Yarrowia lipolytica: one gene and its partner. The protein of the gene in region 2 purifies or fractionates together with the protein of the main gene of each other region. This does not show direct contact. Links are inferred from orthologs where the notes say so. Each region holds a gene or a part of one and is shown on either strand. Other genes may lie near its edges. The genes, in order: YALI1_A00746g and YALI1_B28292g.

Evidence for each region.
Region 1: the proteins of YALI1_B28292g (region 2) and YALI1_A00746g purify together in Saccharomyces cerevisiae (affinity purification with mass spectrometry; 3 studies listed by BioGRID). This does not show direct contact. The link is inferred for Yarrowia lipolytica from reciprocal best matches to the Saccharomyces cerevisiae genes SCP160 and ZUO1.

Annotation. Positions count from the first base shown.
Region 1 is NC_090770.1:70,457-78,906, forward strand, and holds YALI1_A00746g (uncharacterized protein), read right to left. Parts: upstream 4,218-8,450; coding exon 2,928-4,217; downstream 1-2,927. Other genes in the region: YALI1_A00715g (uncharacterized protein), read right to left, coding at 1-1,053; YALI1_A00789g (uncharacterized protein), read right to left, coding at 4,931-8,450. UniProt on the Saccharomyces cerevisiae protein: Component of the ribosome-associated complex (RAC), a heterodimeric chaperone complex involved in regulation of accurate translation termination and in folding or maintaining nascent polypeptides in a folding-competent state.
Region 2 is NC_090771.1:2,825,382-2,834,482, reverse strand, and holds YALI1_B28292g (uncharacterized protein), read right to left. Parts: upstream 5,257-9,101; coding exon 1,576-5,256; downstream 1-1,575. Other genes in the region: YALI1_B28349g (uncharacterized protein), read left to right, coding at 1-665; YALI1_B28268g (uncharacterized protein), read left to right, coding at 7,692-9,101. UniProt on the Saccharomyces cerevisiae protein: Involved in the control of mitotic chromosome transmission. Required during cell division for faithful partitioning of the ER-nuclear envelope membranes which, in S.cerevisiae, enclose the duplicated chromosomes.

The DNA of each region.
Region 1 (8,450 bases), on a different chromosome or scaffold from region 2:
GTACTCGGTCTCAATCTCGCAGGGAACGACAACAGTGAGGGTCTTACCCTCAATGACAGTGGGACAGGTGGTGACGGTGTGGATGACGGGGACACAGGTGGTCAGAGTGACGACAGTGTTGCTGCAAGCGCTGTTCTCGCAGTGGGTGACGGTCTGGGTGGTGGTGAGGGTAGTGGACTCAGCAGTAGTGTTTGCAGCGATGGGGGAGACAGAAGCAGAAGCATCACCGGAGACAGCGGCACCAGAGGAGGCAGGGGCGTCGCCAGAGGCAGTAGCAGAAGCAGAGGCATCACCAGAGGTAGCAGGGACATTACCAGAGGTAGCAGGGATATCACCAGCAGAAGAGCTGGAAGCAACTTCATCCTCTGCGTTCACAGCTTCCAACCAAGCCTCAAGCTCGGCAATGGTGTTCAAAACACTGTCGAGGTTGGCCTGAAGAGCATCAGACTTGTTCTCGATGGGCTCAATAATGGCAACAACAGCTCGCAGCTGGTCCAGAAGAGTCACGACATCGTCGATGAGGTCAGAGGCGGTATCTCTCTTGGCAATCCACATCATAATGTGTCTCTTGGCAGCAGTTGTGGCCTGCAGCTCAGCTAGACGGCTCATGACACTGTCAAGAGAAGCGGAGACGTCAGCCACAAGCTGCTGAAGCTCAGGGGAGTCGGAAACTTCGGCAAGGAGTGTATCCAGAGTGTCCTGAAGACCAGCAATGGTGGCATCGAGCTGCGAGAGCTCCTCGGCTGTAGGAGGAGAGGGAGTGGTGGTAGAAGTAGGAGTAGGAGCAGGGGTGCTAGCGTCGACGGGGGTGGAGTCGACAGTGGCACTAGGAGACTGGGTGGAGCTCACGACAGAGGCAACGGGGGTGGAGTCAACGGTGGAACTGGTAGGCAGGGTGGAGCTCTCGAGGAGTTCGACAGGAGTAGAGGCACCAGGAGACTCAGTGGAGCTATCGATGGTAGTAGAGGCACCAGGAGGGTCGGAGATGATGTCAGTTGTGTTCTGAGCCAAGACAGCTGAGACGAGAGTGAGGGGAATAAGAGACAGCTTCATGTTAGCGAGCGAGTGAATGGAGAGCGAGTGAAAGAGTGACTGGGGATTGAGGACAGGCAAGTTGGGGGTTTATGTAACATGTTTGTGTATAACATGATGAGTTTGTGTCCGTGTTTCTCCTTCCAAGCTAGCCCAGAATTGTGCTATTTAGTTGAGTCGGGTTTTGTTGATTTTAGCACGGGTCTATTGTGTGTTCCGCCGTGTGCTATTGTTTGGCGGCTGCACAATGGCGATGAGCCATCAGTCTTGCCGTGCATATATCTATAGATGATCGATATCATATCGGACAAGATCACATTGACCAGATCTCATTTATCAAAATCATCTCGAACAAAGCACGCTGATCAACATCTCCCGTAATGAAGACGCGTCGCACAACCAATGTTTCGACGTGCTGACAGCTCGCCCACATTCATCAGGGGGGTTCCAAAACAAGGCAAGAGGCTTTCCGCCTACTGTATCGGATATGCGGGTATCTGATTATGGGTATAGACGTCGGACTAACCATGTGGCGGTGGGGTTGGGGTGAGAGATGTGGGGATTTCTGCTTGGTAAAGGCAGACACAAGGCCACAAAGAAGAAGAGGCGGTGCTGTGTAACCTAAGCTGGTGCTCTGTGTCTGGAAAGGGGGGTGTTGCAACGCTCGGTGTCACGAAATGTCTTCTCGAAACTCCAGAAGACCGCATTGGGCCGAAATACTGGGCGGTAAACCTTTTTATGGCGCTAAAAGTTCCGCTTCTCAGCATTCCGAGGTTCCCGTGCCCCCCTGGATGTCATCTCTCAGGTCGACTGGCATTCTTTGCATTCTTTCAGCCGCTTTGGAGAGTCGTAGGGTGCGGTTAGTGGAGAAGAATGTCCACTGTATCGTCGATGGATCGAAACCTGTACTTGTACAACTATATGATAGAATAAATCGATAGATGACATATTGCCAATAAAAAGTACTAGCTGATCATCTTATCAGTCTTGCAACTCGATTTTCCTGTGGAAGATCTGATGGAACGTACGGTACAGTTTCTTCAAACGATTAAATACTTGGTATTAGTTGTGAACTCTTCTTATAGTTAGAACTGTGCGTTAAGGGTGAACTGATCTCCCATTAAAACAGTTGAGCCAGCTAAGTACTGATAACAAACAACGTACTGTCCTTGCAACACATGTAGTCACACCATCCAGAGATGGCACTAAAGGATACGCTGTCACGCCACGCAGAGATTGAACTAAAAGATACACTGCCACTTTGTACACCCAATGTCATCAAGAACCCCCTTTGACACATGCTTATGCTAATGTACCGGATGTACTTGACATTCTTTAGATCAGTCCAGCGCTCACAGGTGCTTGCCATGAATAGCCGTATTAGTGGGTAGAAACATAACAGTCTCTGAATATCCTCCACGTTCTCAACTCCCCGTCTCTGAACTCCCCGTCTCTGAACTCCACGTATCTGAACTCCACGTATCTATCTAAAGTGCCCTTCTTGTAGATCTTCCAGCAGCGGTTGCATGTCAGAGTGGAGACCAATAGAATGATGGACCTGCTAAACCGCAGTCACATCCAAGAAGTAGGACCGGTAGGTGGTCACAAAGACTCAAACAAGCCCGTAAAGATCTCAATTGGTCCGTCCTGAGTATCCAGTATAAGCATCACACGTGCATCCACATTTCTTGTACTGATACTCAACACCTACACCCCTGGTTTGACACAACAGCACTTGACCAGTCTGAGATCCTCCCATAAAGTCCCTTTGGTCGATCATCTACATCTGTTTGTGCTTTACACATGTATCCAAGTCAGTGACAGTACTCTAGATCTATTCTACTTGTATGAACTATAGATTAGGCGGGGTGGATCCTGCCCTAGGTCAGAACTACCTAAGAGAAGTAGGCATAGTCACCTCCGGCCTTAGCGGCGGCCTCAGTGATGGTAGCCTTGGCCTTGGCGGCATCAGCACCGTCAAGAGCAGCAGCAAGATCACCGAGAGCAAGGTCGTCAATTCGGTTGAGCAGAGCATCGAGATCGATGTCAATATCGGCAGACTTGGCCTCGTCGCCGAAGTAGCCGTTGTCCTTGGCGGCGTTTCGCACAGCTCGCTTGTTCTTCTTCTTGGCGGACTTGGCAGCCTCCTTGGACTTCTTGGCGTTCTCCTTGTTGGCGGCAGCCTCCTCAGCCTCCTTCTTGGCCTTGGCAGCAGCCTCCTCGGCCTCCTTTGCGGCCTTAGCAGCGGCCTCTCGGGCACCGGCCTCCTTCTCCCACTTCTTGGCCTCCTTGGCCTTCTTGTCGGCCTCCTTGAACATCTTGATTCGGGGATCGAGGGACAGAGCAAGGTCAACGGCCTCTCGGAATCGGGCAGTGTCCTCGGTCTTGTGCTTCTGTCGCTGGGCCTTGTTCTTCTTCTCAATGTATCGCTTGTGGTCTCGGTTGGAAGAGTCATCGGGAACATCCTCGTCGAGGTACTCAAAGGTTCTCCACGAGTCGAAGGAGTACATGGCGGCGTAGAAGCCCTCCACCTCGGCCTTGGAAGACTCCATGGTACCAAGAGAAGGACAGGGCTGGGTCTTGGAGAATCGGATCTCGGAGTCGAAGAAGGGACCCCACAGCTCGATGAAGTTCTCGGCGGTGGTCTCCTTCTTGGTGGGCTGCTCCACATTGGCAGCCTCGTCGACGGAGTCGTACTGTCGTCGTCGGTTGGAGTCCATCAGAACCTCAAACGCCTTCTGGATACACTTGAAGAAGTCGTCCTCGTCGAGCTTGGAGCCGGAGGCGGCCTTCTTATCGGGGTGATGCTTGAGCACTCGCTTTCGGTGGGCCCGTCGGATCTGGTCCTCAGTAGCTCGGTGTCGAAGGTGAGAGATACCCAGAACTCTGTAATGGTCCTGAGACTTCCAGTCCTTGGCCTCTCGCTCGAGATCCTCAATGTCTTCAGGCTCGTCGCCGAGATCGGCGTCCTCATCCTCGCCCTCGACCTGCTTGACGTTCTTGGCGGCCTCCTCCTTCTCGTCCTCAGACCAAGTTCGGCCTCGCAGAGTTCGTCGCGCATGGGCCAGGAACCCGGGTCCAACGGGCTCAATCTGTCGCTTGACAGGAGAGGTGAAGGCGGAGTGGGCAACAAAGCCCTCGGAGTTGGCAGAAGCCCATCCGGAAGGAAGAGTAGGCAGAGACATGGTGTTGTTGTGCTGGTGTGAAGGAGAGAGTTGGTAAGGGTAAAAGTTTTACCAAAATGTCAGATTAAGGTTTTTTCAATCTTATTAAGCAACGGGGCCTGAAAACTGCTGCTGTAGAGAAGTGAGACTAGTATGTCGTTGTGTAGTCAGATTAGGAGCTCTTTTTGGGCTATTGTGACTTACTCATTCATTTTTTGCCGTTCTACGTGCCATTTCACGTCACATGATCGTTTCTGGCTACTTTGAATGCCTTCCCCCACACTCCCAGACTGCACCCTAACTCACACTACCAATACAGTCCTGAAAAAAATATCCGACAGACTTGAATATGTCATGCTACTTCTCACAAACTTCACATTGGAGACATCCTACAGTCCAGTTGAGAGATACGCTAGGGGGCGTTTCACTTTCAATCCAAGGTACAATACAGTAGAAACAATACCTCTATAAGTAGAACGGATATTTACTGATATGATTCGAATCAGAGTGAGCCCCTGGGCCGTTTGGTGATCTTGATACTTGTTCTCTCCTATACGCACTCTCTTATCACTTAAATAATAATTACCATAAACATATACAAAACCCATTCTTTTCATAAGTAGGTCCCCTTGGACCAGTCCTGCTTAATGTGCAGGCCAAACCACTGAGTTCAGACTTCACCACTAGCTGCGCGCGCCATTCGCTTCGCCCGTTACTCGCTTAGCACTCGTCATCTAGGCCTTCTGTCCATCAACAAACGTCAGCGCATCCTCCCGAGTAATACTCTTCACCGTAGAAATCTTGTTGTTGAATAAGACTCCGTAAAACTTGTCAGCCACGTGAATCATCTCATTTCGGAACGTGGTGCAAATGAACTGTGTAGGCTGAGGAGCGTTGGCAATCTGGGAAATCACCTGCGCCACAGCAGTTCGATACTGATCGTCAAGATTAGCGTCAATCTCGTCAAACAGGTAAAAGGGGGCAGGATCGGACCGCTGGATGGCGAAAATGAGCGCCAACGCACACAGCGACTTTTGACCTCCCGACAGCTGCTCCACTCGCTGCTGCTCGTTCTCCGTCGAGTTGAACGACACGTTGATCGCCACTCCAGTGTACGAGTCAGGGTTCTGGTCGTCCAGAGCCCGTCGCTCGATCACCAGCTGACCCTTTCCTCGAGGCACAAGCTGTTGGAACACCTCGGAGAATTCCTTGGACACTTGCTGGAACGTTCGCTTGATTGCTCGGTCCTTCTGGTCGTTAAGAGTGGAAATTAGCTCCTCAATGGACTCTGCAGACTCCATGAGGTTCTGTCGACGTGAAAGAAGTCGATCTCGGTCCTTGCTAAACGTCGCAAATTGCTCCAGAGCTTTCCGATTGACGTGGCCAAACTTCTTGAGCTCGTCAGACACCTCTCTGAACTCCTGCATCATGTCGCCGTCGCTCTGGGCAGACACATCGAGGAAAGCATCGTCGGGCAGAATACCAATCTCTCGAATCTTGGCCTGCACATGCTCTCGTCGCTGTTCAAGGGCCTGTCGCTTGGCTGCAACTCGCTCGGCAGCCTTTGCAAACTTGGACAGCTTTCGCAGACTCTGGGCCTGCTCATCCTTGAGCTCGGCGAGGTGAGCCTCGTCGTTTGCCACCTGCTGCTCCGCGGTCTCCAGTGCTTTCTCAGTCGACAATTGCTTGCTGGCAGCCTCCGACAACTGCTCCTCCATCTGAGCAAGCTTGCGGGTAAGCGTGGCAGCCTTCTCGGCCAGCTCGGCAGCATCAAAGTCGCCGTTGTGTTGCAGCTCCATGTCGTCTCGAGACAGGTACAAGTTCTGCTGTAGCTCGTTCTCGAGACTCAGACGGGTCATTTCCAGAGCAGACACCTTCTGTTGAAGCTCGGCGACCGAGGCAGACAGGCCAGGAAGAGTCTCGCAGACCCGCTCGAGCTCTTGCTGCTGAGCAGAAGACAACTGCGAGCTGAACTCGGACACCAACTCCGAGTTATACGACTCCAGCTGCGACTCCATCGACGAGATGTCTCGAAGCAGCGTCTCGGAGTTGTCCCGCTTCTTCTCAATAAGACCCTTGAGGGTTGTGATGGCCGCGGTCTCGGCCTTGATGGACTCAGAGGCCCGCTGCCGGGTCTCTTCAATCTGCTGCATTTCCATCAGCAGTTTGTTCTGCTCCGTGTGGCATTCAGACAGCCGGTGCTCCACCTCATCAACGCTGTTCTTGATGGCGTTGATCTGCACACGGATCTGACTCAGCTCCTCCTGGGCCTCCTGCACGTCTCGAGCAGCGTCCAATCGGCTTTTCTTGGGGTCGTGGAAACCACCAGTAAGCACACCCTTGGCATCCACTCGATCTCCACCCAAAGTGATGGCGTTGAGGTTGTGGTTTCGCTGAACAGCAGCACCCACCTGCAGATTGATGCACACAATGGTCTTGCCAAAAACTTGCTGCACCGCAGGCTCGTACTCTGGGTTACAAGAAATCTTGTCGACCAGTGGGAATACGTTTTCGGCCTCGGGGTACTTTCTTCGCTCGGGGTTGAGCCGGTTGAGAGGCATGAACGTCAGACGACCGCACTTTTCACGCAAAAGCTGCTCAATCACCTTGGAAGCAACATCGTCATCCTCGACAACCACATGGAAAAGCGAATTGCCAGCAGTCACCTCAACAGCTCGCTTGTACTTGTCATCCAGCTTGATCAACTCGCACAAGGGACCATAGACCTGGTCCTCCAGTCCCAGCTTCTGGGCCACTCGTTTCAGGTTAGCCAAACCAAGGGAGGTGTTTCTGTCCATGGTAGAAGCAAATGCTCGCTGCGCCTTCTCGACCTGCTGCTCCAGCTGGTCGCTATCCTTGAGAAGATACGACTCCTGGCGCCACAAAGCCTTCTTCTCATCAGCAATGCCCTCTCGGGCCTGTTGGGAGGCCGCGTGGCTTCGCTTGAGCTCAGAGTACCGCGATTCGCAGTCAGCAAACGCTTGTCGCTGCTCCACAATCGCAGCATCCTTGGCAGTGATTTCACGCTCGCACTCTTCCACACTTCGCTTGCCCTTTGCCAGGGCCTGCTTTCGACTCTCCAAAAACTCGGAGATCTCTGCAATCTGTCGTTGCAGCCACTTGTCCCGAGCAGCCTTGGATGTGAACTGTGCAGATCGGCCTTCTCGGGAGAGCAGTGAGTCCTTGGTTGCCGAGGCTTCTCGCAGAGCTCGATTGGCAGCCTCAAGCTGACTTTTGAGAGCATCCCGCTCGCTCACGGTCGCCCTCAGCGAGCTCTCCTTGGATTCAATCTCGCCTTGCACCCGCTGCAACTGCTGCTCACGTGACAGCTCCTCGTGCTGTAGCGTACCATGGATTCGGTTGGTTTCAGCGAGCTCCACCTCGAGGGACGCCTTGAGTCGACGGAGCTGAGCAACGTCGTCACGTGCATGGGATGCAGCCAGATCTGCGTGCTCACGTGCCCGGCTGGAAGTCTCAATCTCAGCCTCTACTTCGGAAATGACCAAGTCCTGCTCCTCGATCTTAGCAAGTCGAGCAGCTCGGTCGGAAGCGCCGCCGTCGTCCATGTCCTGCAGCTCCACCAGCGCAGTCTCCACTGCCTTGAGCTCGCGGTCCTGCAGCGCAAAGTCCAGGCACTTCCGCCGCTTGTCCAGCTGCAGAAATTCGTTTAGCTCCTGCTTCTCCTCCTCCAGGTCGGACAGCCGCGTGTTGATGTCGTCCAGTGCGCTGTTGATCTTGAGAATCTTGTTTTCGTTCTCAATCATGAGCTTCTCCGACTCGGATCGCCGCTGCTCGTAGACCTTAGTACCAGCCACCTCCTTGAGCAGCGCCAATCGCGTCTCGTTTTTCGCGTTGGTGAGCGCTGTGATTCGTCCCTGAGGCACAATGTAGTAGGGATTGGCCCGCGAGAAGCCCGCAGACTCCAGCAGGTTCATAATCTCAGACCGTGTGCTGGACTTCTTGTCGAGCGAGTACTCGTCCTTCTTGGAGCCAATTGTCCGTCGAATGGTGACGGTTTCTCCTCCGGTGGGCAGTCGACGATCACTGTTATCGAAGATGATCTCCACGAACGCACTCATTGTCGTGCCAGACATGCCGGAGCCCTCGTGAATGAGAGCAGCCCGCTCCTCCTTGTTGAGGTGGTTGTAGGCGTCGGAGAGAACGAACCGGACCGCGGCAAAGAAGTTGGACTTACCGGAACCGTTTCGGCCAACCACCACGTTGAACCGTGGCGAGAACGGGTCGATCTCGACC
Region 2 (9,101 bases):
AGTCGACTGCTCTCACGAACCTGTATCTAATGATCGGCACCCTGCGAAACTTCGGAGACGGAGCTCTCAACTTGCAAAAGGGCCAATGGCTCAAGGGAGTGGCCCTGGGCAACGACATCTCCGGCAAGACTCTCGGAATTCTCGGTATGGGCGGAATCGGCCGAGAAATCAGAGACTACGTGGCTCCTCTGGGTTTCAGCAAGGTGCTGTACTACAACCGAAATCGCCTGGCCCCCGAGCTGGAAAAGGACTCTGTCTACTGCCAGTCGCCTGAAGATCTATTTTCCAAGGCCGATGTCATTTCCATCAACGTGCCTCTTAATGCTGCTACCAAGCACCTCGTCAACGCAGAGTCCATCTCCAAAATGAAGGACGGAGTCATCATTGTCAACACCGCTCGAGGCCCTGTTTGCGACGAGAAGGCCCTAGTGGACGGTCTAAACTCTGGAAAGATTGGAGGAGTCGGTCTCGATGTATTCGAGCGAGAGCCTGCCATTGAAGAAGGTCTTTTGAAACACCCTAGAACCCTGCTTCTGCCTCATATGGGAACCTGGTCCCACGAGACCCATTTCAAGATGGAGAAGGCGGTTCTGGACAACCTCGAGAGCTTTGTTGATACTGGAAAGGTTATCTCCATTGTTCCTGAGCAGAAGGGCAAGTTTTAAAATGGTAACAACTAACATAGATAGGGGGAGGGGGAGCTACAGTTTCCAGTAGCTAAGTAAGTACAAGTAGAGCTAAACGCATAAACATGCATTGTGTAGAAAGTACAATTGTAAGACACAGTAGTTTACCCATATGCACCTGCACGAGACGATAATGCGCGGGGAAAACAGGTCACGTGAGATGAGGTTTTGAATGCGGATTGTGGCTCACAAGCATGATAAACAGTTAGTTAGGTAAAACTATATGAGAATATAGACCTAAATTTATCTCTAAACATTGTTAATAACATGGCTTCTCCAGATTAACATTGCTGACGTAATTTAAAAATAGGATTACATATTACGACAACCCGGAAGCTAAATTAAATACGAGCATATACGAGATGAGATGATTTTTTCTTGAGTAACTGACTACAAGTACCGGACCGGTACTTGTGCTGTAAAAAAATAGTTTTATGTATACACGACCAGCATATTTGGAACATGGGGCTCTCTCAGACAAGCGAACATCATAATCAAACTCAGGTGACCCGGCACAGCGGCGACAGCTGGTTTGCTGATGGATGACCAACAAGTTACTGGCGACAAAGCTTACATTTACTGAATTCGATGATGCTTGTATGAATGGTTCTATCTACCCAAATGTTTCACTTGAAAGGCGCACTAAAGATGGAGCTCCTATATCAGAAGGGTTACAGAATTGAGTATTATAAGGGCTCCGGCGGCCATAGTCGAACCACTGTGGGCCTGGAGAACACTTCAAATATCCCAACACACACTACGATACGCACAACAGACGACCTGTGTGCGCACCACAACATACAATCTCAAATGATATAAATACTAAATACTAAATACTACCGAATCGTACCCGCAGTACATTTTTTGCATCCCTGAAACAAACACAAGCTTACTTCTTGAGAGCAGCAAGCATCATCTCCTTGGCCTTCTCCAGACCCTCGGGGGAGCCCCGCACGGTCACGGCAGAGTCAGCAACACCAGCCTTGGGGATGTAGATCTTGCAGCCAGACTTCTCTCGGATGTGAGACACGGTGGCTCCATGAGGACCCACCAGGAATCGGTATCGAGAGGTGTCAGGGAGCCACAGGTATCCGGTCTGAGTGTGCTTGAGAGCAACATCCAGAGCAGCCTCAATGATGGCCTTAGCCTTGGCAACGTTCTCGTCAGAGCCCTCAAGCCTCCAGGGGATGGTGCCGTTGGCAGCGTGGTCGACAGCGTCCTCGACAACAGACCATCGGAACGAGTCCTTGTCCTCAGAATCGGAGCCAATGGCACCAGCGGGGACAACGGGGTTGCCGTCTCGAGGAGTTCGGACAGAGCCGTGGTCAACGTTAACCTTGAGTTCGTACTTGAGCTTTCGGGGCAGGTTTCCGTTGTCGGACACAGTGGTGTGCAAGGTTCGGGGGACCAGAATTTCCTCCTTCCACTTGTCCTGGGACAGCTCCTGGATCTTGGCCTTGGCGGTAGCGACATCCTCAGCCTTACCGGTGATGGAGACGCCGGTGTCGAGCTCTCCATCCTTGTTCTTGGCGCCCTGCTTGGGGATCTGCAGAGTAACCTTGAACTTCTCCTCGAGGGATCGCTTGGCAGCACCTCCAGCTCCAATGAGATCTCGGTGCTTGGAAACGGGCACATCAACAACCTCAGAGATCTGGGACTCCCGCTCGGCAACCATGTCCTGGATGATTTTGACAATCTTGGCCACAATCTTCTTGGAGCCCTGGACTCGCACCTTGTTATCCTTGGTGCCGGCAGCAGGAACAGCAACGGTTCGAGCAGCAACGGAGGGGGTCACGTCGGTCATACCGGCCTTGGTGAGGATGTCTTTGAGAGTCTGACCGCCGGGACCGATCAGAGCACCGTGGAACTTGGGGTTCACCTCAATGTGCTCAATGACAGTGTCCTGGAACTCAGAAACGATAGCCTGGATCTTGGCAGCAGCCTCCTTGACGCCGGCCTTTGTACCAACAATTTCAATGTCAACGTTGCCGGTCTCGTCGGTGTTATCCGACTTCTCCTGCTTGACGTCGATTCGAGTGTTGGTGGAGTCCTTGATGTCGTTGATGAACTCTCCGCCTCGACCAATGATTCGGGGCAGAGACTTGACGGGGACGGAAATGGTCTGCGAGTGCGAGTTCTCAATCTCGTAGTTTACGAGATCCAAAATCTCCTCCTTGGCCTTCGCCACACCCTTGGAGGGACCTCGAAGGACGATCTCGTTGGCGTTCTCCTCACCGGTCTTGGGGAACCGAATTCGAACGTCATACTTCTCCTCCAGTCGCTTGACAAACTTGCCACCAGTTCCAATCAGAGAGGCGTGGTGGTCAGCAGGCACAGGAAGCTTGACGTTGACCTCGTCGGCAATCTTCTTGGCGAAAGCCAGAATCTGAACCTTGGCCTCGTCGGCGTTCTTCTTGATACCCTTGACAACACCCTGACCGGACTCGTCGAGATCGATGTTGACGCCGTACTCACGGAACTTGGCGAGCTGGGAGCCGCCCTTGCCAACAACATGCTTGACATGCTCGGGAGGGATCTGGAATTCGGTGGTGTACTGGGACAGAACAGCATAGTTCTTGCCGTCCTCCACTGCCTCCTCGATCTCCTTGAGCACTCGGGTGACCTCATCCTTGAGACCCCGCACGTAGATGGAGTCCGCAGAAACGGGCTCCTCAGCGTCCTTGATCTCGTCACCAAAGGTGACTCGGACAAAGGGCTCGTGGCCCTCGGTTCCGCCAACAATGGCTCGAAGGGTAGTGTTATCGGGACCTCGGACAAACTTGTGTTCGCCAACGGGGACGGAAATTAGCTTGCCAATGATCTTGGCCTGCTTCTCTCGAATATCGGCAAAGGAAGAGTCGACAGCAGCAAAGGTGGCCTTGATCTCGTCGGCGGAGGGGCCGAAATCATCCTCCTCAGAGGTGCCCTCGTAGATGAGAATCACGTCACCGTTAACCTTGGGGTTCTCGGGCACCAGGACAGTGACTCCGTGGTCCTTCTTGTACTTGGCCAGGTTTCGGTCCTTGGGGCCAGCGAGGTTTCGCAGGAAAAAAGGATCAATGTCAGACACTCGAGAGACCTTGGAGGGCTCGTACTTGTTTACCAGAGCCACAATGGCCTTTCGGGCAGCCTTGACAGCCTCCTCGTTGGGACCAGAGGTCTCGATAGTGACGGCCTGGGCGCCAGGAGCGTAGAGCTGATCGGGCTGCTGGATGTAGATTTCGACCTTGTACTCGTCAGCAATCTTCTGGAGCATACCAGAGGCCTTGAAGTAAGAAGCCAAAGCCTGGGCATGGGGCACGCTCTTGCCATGTGCTCGAGAAATGTCCAAAAGATCAATCTTGACGGAGTTAACCTGCTCAGACACCTTGTTCATGGCGGGCTTGATGTCCTTGGGCAGACCCAGGAACTTGACGGTGTCATCGGAGGTGTTGGGGGCCTGGGGCACAGTGATAAACACGGAGGTGGCGGCAAAGACATCCTTGGCAGAAATGTACTTGTGCTTGGAAGCAGGGAAGGACTCGGTGGAGGTGATAAGGTCGGTGGACAGAGACTCTGCAAGACGCTCAAGTCGTTCCTTGACGGTAGCGGTGGCCTCTCGGTCGCCAGACAGAGTGATGGTGGCGGCCGTGGTGAAGTTGGGAGCAAAGATATCAGGGATGCTGAGCTTGACGTCGTCCTCGCCCTTGGTGAGGTCTCCGGCGGTCTTGTCAAGGAAGGGGAACAGCACATAGTTGACGTTTCGAACTCGGATGGTCATGTTCTTGACTCGCTCGGACACAATGGCAAAGATCTCTTGCTTGGCAATAGCAATACCCTCAGAGTCACCCTCGACGATGACCTCGACCGTCTCCTCGTCGTCGTCGGCGTTGTTGCCGTTGGACTCGAGCTTCTCAATCTGGATATGGGCACCGGACTTCTCAAGAATGGGCTTCAGGTTGGAACCTCGAGGGCCAATCACAGCAGCTCGCACGCTAGCGGGGATCTCAAACTTGGCGACAATCTTCTGGGACAGGGCTCGGTGCAGCTCACGTCGGGCCTTGGCCACGTTCTCGGGGGTACCCTTGATGACAAAGGAGGTGTGGCCCGTAATCTTGGAGGTGGACGAGTCGATGGTAGTGGAGGTGTTGGCCTTGACCTTAGCAATGATCTTGGGCAGCTCGGATCGCACACCAACCTGCTGCTCCTCTCGCTTGAGAGTGAAGACATCGGAGATAGTGGTGGAAGCGGCTCGACCAAAGGACTGAGGGGAGGGGGCAGCGGGAGCAGAGCCTCCCTTACCCCAAACAGCCTTGGGGGCAGCGGCACCACCATTAAGAGCGGGGAAAGCCTCGAGAGAGTTGATATCGAGACCCTTTCGCTTGGAGGCGGCGGAGGGACCGGCGACAGACTTCACGGGGGCGGCAGGGGCAATCTCGGGAACGGGAGAAGACTCCTTGGACAGAGAGCCCTCAGAAACGGTGAGGGTGGGCTCGGCGGCAGCGCTCACGGCAGCATGTCGTTGCCGGAGAAGCTCAGCGGGGGACAGGTCGGACATCTGTGTTAGTGGGGTGGTGGTGGGGGTCGTCATGTCTTGACAGCATCTTGTGTGGCACAAGCACACACATCAGATAACTGTTGGTGTAACATGTATAAATGAGATCCGGCAGATGTCAGTTGATTCAATGAATTATCCAGGGCATGCTCCAGTGTACAAGGACTGTGTCCACTTGTGCATCTCCTTTTTGGTCTCCATGGAAACAGATCAAATGAGACACTGTTTAGCCATAACGCAACCTCTGCGGCATCAACACTCGGATCCTCGGTCTCAATTCATACTCACTTCAACAAAAACAAACAAACAAACAGGGAGGGGACCAGACAAACAAAACTCTTCAAGTTCTGTATTCCAAACGGGGTTTTGGGGGTAGAGAGAGTTTTTGATGGGGATGAAAAATAGACGCCAACCTTGTCTTGTGGAGGTGACACGTTGTGCATAGCGACACGACTGGTTGGGGGCTACCCTAATACAGCATGATGCAATGCACAGAGCCCCAAACACCTGTCAAAAGTGCTTGAATGTTGCTCAGAAGTAGAGCAACGACATACGGACCAGAAGAAACAGTGGTGAATGACAGAGCAGAACTTCCATTGTAGTTGCAACAACTATATACGACGATATTCTGACGATACTTTCTGTTCCCTCGTGTTGCATGATGCCCGAGAAACTCTGAGCTTATATATATTTCAACATTTCACGACGATGATGGTGATAATCATGGTTGAGAAGGAATGAGTCCGATTTGGCGCGGCAAAAATTTGGCGTCGCAAAGATGACTGTAACGCACTAACATCGTCATCTGCAGAAGCAAAAAGCTTTGTAATGTCATTTTCCAAAAAAGGGCCGAGCAGGGATTTGAACCCTGGACCTCTCACACCCAAAGCGAGAATCATAGCTACTAGACCACACGGCCGGTTATAAAATTTTTGCGTTGAATCAATAGGATCTGAAATATCACCGAAATCACGTGACCAGATTTTTGGACGAGTTTTTCAGAGTGGATAATGCTTCGATATGTGTCGGAGTTTTTCTAAGGGGGAAAAACTTGACTCGAAATTTTACCTAAAGTAATAATATATGCGATAAACGTTTTTGTTTATCTCGTTATGTTAGATTATGTATTTTCAGATCTCCGTGATTATATAAGCGAAACCCGTTGTTTGTCACAAAAAAGTGGACATGGTTATGTAACGTGAGATGAGAAAATGACGCTAATACATCTTAAAATTCATCGTGGTATGATCATTTCAGCAAACTCTTCATGATAATCATTTGTCTCAACTTACTCCAATTATATTTACTTACGTATCAGAACCTCGTCTCACCTTCTGTTGAGCCCGCAAACCTCAGTTTTTTTTGGCTACTATTTTGATTTGCACGCTGTGAAACATGAAACACCTTCGGTCGTGTTTTTAGAAACGGATCATCGCTCAGCGCACGGCATATTTCTTCCTTTTCTGCTCAGATCGATCATCATGAGATTAGCTCAAAGGATGAAAGTAGAGTCAGATTCAGGTCAGGACCGTATAGGACCTCTTTATTTGTGCTGCTACTTGTACAAGTAGTGAGAGTGTGGGAATCCGAAAAGTGACGTAATAGTCTGCTGATAATAAATCCTGAAACGTGGACAAGAACTTATCTGGAGTGGTGTGGGATTGGACATGGATATATTTTTTCACATCGTATTATTCACCTTAAGATTGAGTCAAAGTTGTACATTCCAATCCTCGAGAATGTACCTGGGCACCTGGGTGCACTGGTGTGGCTGCTTTGTAAGTGAGACCCAGAGTGTGGTCAAAAGTGTCAAAGTGCCCAATTTCCAGCTATATCGAACCAACGGACACGTGGGTCCCCACAGAGCTGTCGTCTACTGTCCTACGAGCTACACGGGCTCAGATGGCATGAGAGTGCTGTTTCCGGCATTGACTGGATGGGCTTACAAGCAAGATTATGTCTCGGGGTGCAGGATGAAGGCTGCCTAAAGTTTCAGAGACCAAATAAAACCAGGGGTAACGGTGGAGCTAAACAGTTGGAGCCCCAGCAGATCCGGGCAGGGTGACATTTAGTGCTTTTTCTGGAGATTAGCTGGCGGATATTGCAAGCCTTTCGAGACAGTTGCAGGTTCAGCCCGTTAAATGGCAATTATCACAGGAAGTCTTAGCTAACGTAATTAATGGACATGCAGATCATGAAGCCGTCATTTTGGTATACCGAAATGGGATCGGAGGTAACAATCGACAACAAAACATGCTCAAAGGAGAAGACGTAGACCAACAAAGCCCGCCGGCAGACGATTCATTTGTGACCCTTCCAGCTTCGCTTTAGATTCCAACCAACATGTTCCTTGTGCGTCAAACCCCTATTTCGTGCATGAGGAGTACTCTATCTAGCCGAAAGGAGAGTGTTTTCCCAGACCATATACAAGCCGAATCAATAGCCATTCACTCTTCTCGGCCATCCACAACATGGGCGCCTTCCGAAACCTCTTTGCCCTCTTTAGACGAGACGACCGTCAACGGCCCAGAGCCCCCGAGCGTGCCAAATCGTCCTCCGCACGTCTCCAATCCACCACCGCAGGGGTTTCAGAGCTAGGAGTGTCCAAGACCCGCCCGGCTGTTCACCGAGTTCAATCTGAGTCCGTTCCCAAGTCCAAGACCGGATCTAAACGTTTCTCTTTTAGACGCAGTGTTTCTGGTCCGTCTCCGCCCACTACGTCTTCCTCCAGCATCGATCCCGCTCGACCTACAACCTCTCCCTCGCCTGTCAAGTCTCCAGCAGCCGGAAACGACAGTGTTCCGAGTCTCGACTACTCGTTCGACCGCACCTTCCAAACCATTGAGGAGGAGGAGTCGCTTGTTTCACCTGCAGTGGACACCCGCAAGTTCAGAGAGAGTCTCAAGAAGGAGCTGCTTCTGGACCTGGACGTCTACGACTCCAAGCCGTCGAGCAAGACTGTCACGGCCAAATCGTCACTGCTGTTCGACAGCACAGACAGACCATCTTCCCAGCTGTTTGACGCTAGCCGCGCGTCGCAGCTATTTGACTCTAAGCTGGGTACACTTGATCTGTCGTTTGATTTGGATCCAGCGACGAGTCCCAATCTCAATTCCAAACTTTCACAACACAGCAACACCACAGTCGGATTAGGTTCAAATTCAGGAGCACCTAGCGTGCATGATTCAAGCAGAACCCCTACCCACATTCCCCTGTTTGGATCCGACCACACGAACCCCCCAGACCACACCAGTCCTGATCTCGCTCCTGCTCTTGACTATTTGCATTTGAACTTAGACATGGGCGCCGACGACACAGACACCAAGACGGTCGACTCAATCGACACCAAGACTGTCGACTCCCAGGATACTAAAACAAGCCTAGACACAGTTCCTGACTCCCTTTCCGTCACCTCAGCAACCTCGTCTTCCTCCAAGTCCACCAAGAACAAGAAGAAGAAGGCCAAGGCTAAGGCTAAGAAGGCCACCACGAAATTGGAATCATCAAAACCAGCTTCACCGGAAATCGGCTCTCTGGAAGTCGATCTGGACGACGATGATGACGGACTCGACTTTATGGCGCAAGAGCTCGAAAACATGAAATTGGAGATGCAGGGCAAGCGGGGCAAGCGAGAGTCTCCTGAACCGGCTGCAAAGGTTGAGGAGAAGACTGCTGAACAGCCTACATCTACCGACTCTGCTGTGTCCATCTCAAAGAAGTCATCGGAGAAGAAGAAGAAGAAGAAGAAGAGCAAGTCTGGCGACAAATCGGACAAATCAAGCAAATCGGAAAAATCGGACAAACCTGATTCGACTGGATCGTCTACTGCACCAATTGATCTCACCTCGCCAGTGGCCACGTCACCGATTGATCTCACTAGC